Tribolium castaneum: one gene and its partner. The protein of the gene in region 2 purifies or fractionates together with the protein of the main gene of each other region. This does not show direct contact. Links are inferred from orthologs where the notes say so. Each region holds a gene or a part of one and is shown on either strand. Other genes may lie near its edges.

Region 1 (4,266 bases), on a different chromosome or scaffold from region 2:
AAACTTCTTTGATGATGGCTACAATGAGATGTTTGTAGGTGTACACCATGTTATTTAATAGCTAGTTAATTCTCTTCTTGGCCTCTTTTCCACCAATATCAATTGGTGAAAAAGACGCTTTTCAGTTTCTTGCCATGACACTTCATTTTCAATTTTTGTATTTTTTTACTCCGCATTCACGCTGTGCTCTTTTAAATCCTGTTCCTTACGACCATAGAGTAATATATTTTTCTTTCAATAAAAACGCTCGACTATAAAAATGAGATTACATAAAACAGTAAGACGACCGATAATTTAATGGAGCACAGTGGTGAATGGTACAAATTTTGTGGTGATATTTATTTATTTAAAAGGTGTTGTATTAACATCAGTGAATTAAATGAGAAAATTAGTTTGTAACAAATAACAATACAAGGGCACAATTAAATATCGTTAAATATTTAAAGTATTGAAATAAGAAATTGTTGTGGTACGATAACTTAAGTTGTTGAAATTGCAATTTTATTCCACCTCTGTAAAATAGTAAAATTGAACCGTGAGGCAATCAATATTATACAGTTTTATGAAAAATAGCTGTGTTTTTTATTCTAAAAGAAATTATATGTGCACAGAAATTTAAATATTTTGATAAGATTGCAATAAAAGATTTTTTGAAACATGTTGTTTCGACGCCTGAATTTTCTGGACAAATTGTGCCTTATTTAATACCAAATTTTTATTTATTATTAAGACAACGACAAATTGTATTTATTAATTCTGCGCAATTCTCCTGGAAATTTAGGCCTTTAGGTTTAAGTAAAAGTACTTGTACTTCGTCCCACATCGACGTGACGTCAATAATAATTACGTACAACACTTGATTGTGTGCAAGTAACATGTGATATCATGTAATATGTTAGTGTTAAAAAATAAATCGGTATATATACATATTACCTCATTTCTTGTTTTATATTTTTATGTTTTAATATAAACGACTAAAGCCACAAGTCTTTAATTATTGACTATTTACCAATAATTGAAGTTATTTCACTACAAGAAAGAAAAATTATCATTCTCTCAACTTATTCGGGGAAATCCGGGACAAGAATTTGCATTTTCGAGCATCTTCTACTTCGACATTTTTCTGATTTGAATAAATGCAAAAATTATACATCCAGTGACATCTATGTTGGGGAGCGGCAAACACTTGGGGAAATCTTTATTTCTGTTTTTCCCCAATAAGTAGACAAATAAATGCTTTCAAAACTTTTCAAATAAACATTACAAGTACAAAAACACATTGATCATTTACTACTTCACGTGCTAATTATTGTTATTGCAAAAATCATATATTGATCATTTCTTACATTGGCGACATTGGTTGTCAAGTTTCACGTTGACGTATTAACCTCACTTTTATTATAACCTTTCTCAAAAATAAAAAACGTTAAAAGAGGCCTATCTACAATTTTTTATAGAAGACTAGTGTATTGCGTTATTTTTTCACAAAAACGGTATGGCCAGAGGTAAGGTAAAGTACCGAGACGTGGTTGGAGGCCGGTCAAAAAAATCGAAAAAGTTTGATAAAAAGAAAACCAAACCGAGAAAGACTTACAGCTTGTATCGTCAAGACACTAAAAAGCCCACTAAGAAGCGTAAGTTTGAGGCTAGTGAAGAAAATTACGAGAAACGGCAAAAAGTTGAAAAAGAAGCTCAGCCCGAGCAAGAGTCTTCAGAAAGTGAGGAGGAAATTGATCCGATGAAGGAGTTAATGTCTACTTTTGGTTCAAAACTGCAACATAAACAATCACTTGCGATATCAAGTAGCGACGAAAGTTCAGACGAAGAAGATGAAAACTCTCCTGAGGACATTCTTGAGGAAAATGAAGACACGGACGAGGAAACATTAACAAAAAATGAAGACACCCCAGATTCGGAAGAAGATGAGGATGAGGTGGCAGTTGATAGCGCGCAAAATGAGGATAGTGATAACTTGAATGATCCCTTTGTAAAACATGTTTGTTATGAACTGCATGAAAGTGTTTTAAAGTCATTACAATCCTCTCCAGTATTGGTCAACGATTCTGTTTTAAACTGGCCAAGTTTAGGGCGCCTGTTAGTTCAAATACCACAATTTGAAGAATTAAAGGAAGAGAAAAATTCGTTTACAATAGAAGAAAAGAAAAAATTTGCACCACCGGGTTCAGTACCTAAAAAAATGAACACCTCAGACCTCAAAAAACCGGATAATTTGTTCATTAAATCACAAATTATAGATAATTTATCTAAGGCCAATGATTCACTAAAAGAGGATGATACAGTATTTACTGATTTTCAGTCTGAATTGTTTTCGATAATTAACAATTATCAAGATTTGTATTTTACCCAAAGAAACTTTAATAATGCTGAGGAAATCAGATTTGTTTATTGCCTTCATGCCGTAAATCACATTTTAAAAACACGGTTAAAAGTTGTTCACCACAATGTACGTTTATCAAAAAAGGACGACGTTCCTGAGGATTTTAGAGACCAGGGATTAGTTAGGCCCAAGGTAAGTCTTATTTTTTTATGTTTTATTCTTTACTCAAAAAAATATATAGATTCTTATGGTTGTTCCCTTCAAAGACTCGGCTTTTAAAATCATCCAAATGATAATAAACATACTCCTGCCTGAAGATAAAGGTCACGTAATGAACAAAAAAAGATTTCTGGAGGAGTACACAGGCAATGAAATTCCGATGCCCAAAAAGAACCCCAAACCCGAAGACTACGAACTGACTTTCACCGGAAACACAAGCGACGATTTTAAGATTGGCATTACTGTTACAAAAAAGAGCCTGAAGGTTGGCACCGCATTTTAGGGGAATCACTTAACACACAAATCATTTTAGCTGTTCGCTGACTTTTACTCCTCCGATATTATCATAGCTTCGCCTTTGGGGCTCCGGACAATAATCGGCGCTGAAGGCGAACCCCAACGTGACTACGATTTTCTCGCCTCCATAGAACTTCTAATTCTGGACCAAACCGAATTATTTTCGATGCAAAACTGGGACCACTTTATTCACGTTATAAATCATCTCCACTTGCAGCCGAAAGACTCACATGGGACTGATTTTTCGCGAGTTCGGACCTGGAGTTTGAACGGATGGGCGCAATATTACCGACAGACTTTGATATTTTCGTCGATTGTTTTGCCCGAGATTAACTCAATTTTTAATAAGAAATGTAACAATTTCGCTGGGAAAGTCAAAATCTCGAATCCAGTCGAGTTGGGGTCGATTGGACAAGTCGTTGTTCAGATACCGCACGTATTTCATAAATTTGAGGCCCCGAATGCACAGGCCGCAATTGAGGCCCGGTTTGAGTTTTTTATCAATAAACTCTTACCTCTGCAGAGGGACAGTTTGATGAAACAGACGATGATTTATGTGCCGAGTTATTTCGATTTTGTGCGTTTGAGGAATTATTTTAAGAAGGAGGAGCTCAGTTTTGGGCAAATTTGCGAATATTCCAAGGTAATTTTTCGTCTTTAAGACAGCAAAAAAAATCAAACTCTTGCTTAAATGACTGTCGTCTGCTACTGTCTTTTCATATTGTTTTAGGACGGTAAAGTAGCACGAGCCCGAGACATGTTTTATCACGGAGACACTCATTTTTTATTGTATACTGAGCGATTTCATTTTTTTAATCGCGTCAGAGTTAAAGGTATACGCCATTTAGTTTTTTATCAACCGCCAACTTTTCCGCATTTTTATTATGAAATGTGTAATCTAATGCAGGTAATTATTGATGGTTTAATTTTAAGAGGGGTTTGATTATTTTGTTTTAGGAAGCCAACATGAATAAAAAAATCGGAAGTTTATCAAATATGACGGTAAATGTAATTTATTCGAAATATGATGTTCACCGGTTAGCGGCAATTGTTGGGACAGAAAGGGCCACAAAAATGTTACAGTCGGAGAGAAATGTCCACATGATGGTCACCGGTGCTGATTAAAAGACAGAAATTAAAGATCTAAATGTGATTGTATTTTTTATGTTAATAAAAAATTAACAAAATTCTGTTGTTTTTTTTCACAAAGAGGCTTGCGGCTTGATTTTTACGAAAAACCCAAATATATTTTCTGCAATAAGTAACAGAAAATCGCCAAAATTAAAGAAAATATGCAACTGCAATAAGTAACAGAAAATCGCCAAAATTAAAGAAAATATGCAACTTTCTGCCAAATGCTGCATTCAGGAACCGTGTTTCTGTAAAAAAATGGGAGAAAATCGTCAAAATTT
Region 2 (3,069 bases):
ATAATTACATTGTATTTGAATAAAAAAGTAATCAAAATACAACGTAATTACATTGTAATCTGATTATGCCCAACTATGGTGCTCTTTCTCGAGAGTTTGATGTTTTTCTCTAATTTTTTTAGTTAATTTTTCGCAGCATTAATTGTAGTAAATGCAAAAAAGCTTGTATTTTTTTAACATTTTGAGTTCGTTTAGCGTTTGTGTCCTTTATTATTTTAATTATATAACGAATGAACTGGTTATTGAACTAGTAATTTTATACAGTTACTTGCTGTCTTTTCCGAGCTTGATTTTCGTACCTTTCGGGGCTTAATCCCGTTTCTAATAATGGTGACTATACGAGGCCGAACACAATCTGGAGGTATAATTCTTGGAGTGTGTGTAAGTGAGTTATTAAATTTCGTATTGGACAGTTTTTTTGATCGCAAAGTGTCGGTTTTCGTGTATTCGATTCGTTTGAACATCTCGCCTTTCCCACTACAGACGTACTCCTTACCGTCCTCTAAATCGTCCAAACTACAAACCTGGGCGAAAAAATTATTTATGGTGTCTTGATATCTGATCGGTTAATACTTTTTTGCCTTCCATTGAGTAGATGTTGCGCACACCGCTGGGGAGAGTAACATTCTTAGTCAGAATGTTCGTCAGTTCGGTCGTCAGACTGTCAAAAGACCTGTACCGTTCGGGGGCCACTGGTATGACAACTCCGTTAAAAAACTTATTCCCGTTATGGTAAAATCGGATTCTTTTCGCTTTCTGCGTCCGCGACGTCGACGAGGGCCTGCTTTTACTCAAATTTAGCTCTTCAATGCCGTTATCGATGATTTCAAAGTCGGACTGTATGCTGTTACAACTGGTCGAGGAGACGCTTCGGGAGCCGCTGATGTTGTTCTTCGACATTTTGCCAAGTGGGATCGTCACAAGGGGCGTGAAATCATCGTAACATCGTTGGTGTTTAATCAATGGGGCTGTTTTTAACCAAAACTACAAACTGGTACCGCCTATTTGCCAGCTGTCACCGAAACTACACCAAACATCAACTCCACAGATCCCCAAACCACTCTTTAGCGATTTTCAAGGTACACTTCACACACAACACAATCAAACTATAATCTCATTATGAAAAAATTAGATTTTGTGCTAAACTAACTGTTTTTACGGTTAAAAAGGTAATAACCTCTTTTCGGCAAGTGGGAGGGATGCTTGTTACGCATGGCAGCCAACCCCACGAAAATCACAGCTAAATTAAACGAAACGTAATTTCACAAACCGGACCTTATCACACGTTGGACACGGCCACAATCACAGATTGTTTAACAAACTGATTAAAAATAGCCCGCGTGAGTCAACAATTAATCAACAAATTAAATATTTTGGCCGGCGGAGTTGGCACACATGAGTGTCACCTTGACTGATCACAATTTTCAAAAATGGTCCGGAAATTAAAATTTCACGAACAAAAACTCCTGAAAAAAGTTGACTTCATATCGTGGGAAGTCGACAATAATTTGCACGAAGTGCGAGTGCTCAAAAAGTACCACATTCAGAAACGCGAGGATTATACAAAGTGAGGTTAGGTCGGTTTTGACATTTGTTTTATTTTATTTTGTAGTTACAACAAATTGGCCCGTAATATTAGAGAACTGGCCCGCAAAATTAAAGAAGTGGACGCTAAGGACCCCTTCCGGACTGAGAAAAGTGCCCAATTGTTGGAAAAACTGTAAGTTGGAACGTTGTCAAAAGTGAGGTTATGTTTTTTATTTTTAGGTATTTAATGGGGTTAATACCGACAAGGTGGGACTTAAGTCTGGCCGAGAAAGTGACAGCTTCGTGCTTTTGTCGGCGGCGACTGGCCGTTGTAATGGTTAGAAGTAAGTCGTTGTTATTGTTAGAATTTTGCCCCAAATTAATTTCTAGATAAAATGGCTGAAAATATTAAGGGGGCTACTAAATTAATTGAACAGGGGCATGTCAGGGTTGGGCCCGAGTTGGTCAAAGACCCAGCATTACTTGTAACTAGGACTTTGGAAGATTTTGTAACGTGGGTCGATAATTCCAAGATTAAACAACATGTGCTTGAATATAACGGAATGGTAAATTTTTTAAATAATGTAGAACGTGGTTTTTACCATTTTTTTTCCAGAGAGATGATTTCGTGTTGTGATAACATTTTCCTTATTAATTTTAAGTGTAGGTGGCAACACTGTCAACTAAATTTAAATTTGGTTACTCAGTTGGTTTGGTAAAACGAAACACCAAGTCCTTATAAATTTTTATTGTTTTTCCAAAACATACAGGAATTGTAAATCATTATGCCATACATGAGTGTATCAAAAATAAACAAAACCCAATTCTAAATCTTGAAAACTACAATTAAGATGATTACCAACTGTTGATACATTTAAGCAGAAGTTGTTCCAAAAGGTAGACTTTTCAATGTCTTTCTAATAATAATTCAACAAAGAAAGTGAAACAAACATTCGTTATTCGTGTTTTTCTCGTCATCTCTAATTTGTCAACATTCGTTTCCTGCACCAAAGATAACACTAGTTATTCCGCATACGCTATGCAATACTTGTGAAGCCTCAAAATTTGTACAACACACAAAATATCCAAATAAGCGCTTTTTCCGCCATTTATGGTTACTTTTTTGACCTAGCTGAGTGGCGTCTCCAACGGTAATTTTACTAAATGATTTGTCAACACTCCATAGTATACACACCAAGTCCTTGTATAGAGGTGGTTCCAAATCTGGTGGCGAACTGTCAGTGACATAAAAGTCTCTTGCACTCACTTGGTTAAGATAATGAAATACATAGACGTGCATTTTTTTCACTAAAATTTACCCAGTTGTTATTTTAACATTAATAAATTTTGAGAACGAAGATACATAAAAAAATTACTATTACTGTTAATAATCTGATCATTATTCTTCATCTTACGGATCTCATTATATTTTTTTTAAGACTATCAGTGGATTTGAAAATCATTTTATTACGCCTATGGGCAATTTTTTTTTCAATAGCAAACATGTGTTTATTGCCAAAATTCAGTCATTTTTAACAATGT

The links.
Region 1: the proteins of U3 small nucleolar ribonucleoprotein protein IMP3 (region 2) and U3 small nucleolar RNA-associated protein 25 homolog purify together in Homo sapiens (affinity purification with mass spectrometry; 3 studies listed by BioGRID and IntAct, with this or other methods). This does not show direct contact. The link is inferred for Tribolium castaneum from reciprocal best matches to the Homo sapiens genes IMP3 and UTP25.

Annotation. Positions count from the first base shown.
Region 1 is NC_087396.1:10,586,498-10,590,763, reverse strand, and holds U3 small nucleolar RNA-associated protein 25 homolog, read left to right. Parts: upstream 1-1,351; 5' UTR 1,352-1,495; coding exon 1,496-2,530; intron 2,531-2,579; coding exon 2,580-2,822; intron 2,823-2,870; coding exon 2,871-3,497; intron 3,498-3,584; coding exon 3,585-3,761; intron 3,762-3,811; coding exon 3,812-3,979; 3' UTR 3,980-4,041; downstream 4,042-4,266. UniProt on the Homo sapiens protein: Component of the ribosomal small subunit processome for the biogenesis of ribosomes, functions in pre-ribosomal RNA (pre-rRNA) processing. Essential for embryonic development in part through the regulation of p53 pathway.
Region 2 is NC_087400.1:10,480,745-10,483,813, forward strand, and holds U3 small nucleolar ribonucleoprotein protein IMP3, read left to right. Parts: upstream 1-1,362; 5' UTR 1,363-1,430; coding exon 1,431-1,567; intron 1,568-1,612; coding exon 1,613-1,720; intron 1,721-1,767; coding exon 1,768-1,871; intron 1,872-1,917; coding exon 1,918-2,093; intron 2,094-2,143; coding exon 2,144-2,164; 3' UTR 2,165-2,477; downstream 2,478-3,069. Other genes in the region: serine/threonine-protein kinase GL21140, read right to left, coding at 300-524, 574-900. UniProt on the Homo sapiens protein: Component of the 60-80S U3 small nucleolar ribonucleoprotein (U3 snoRNP). Required for the early cleavages during pre-18S ribosomal RNA processing. Part of the small subunit (SSU) processome, first precursor of the small eukaryotic ribosomal subunit.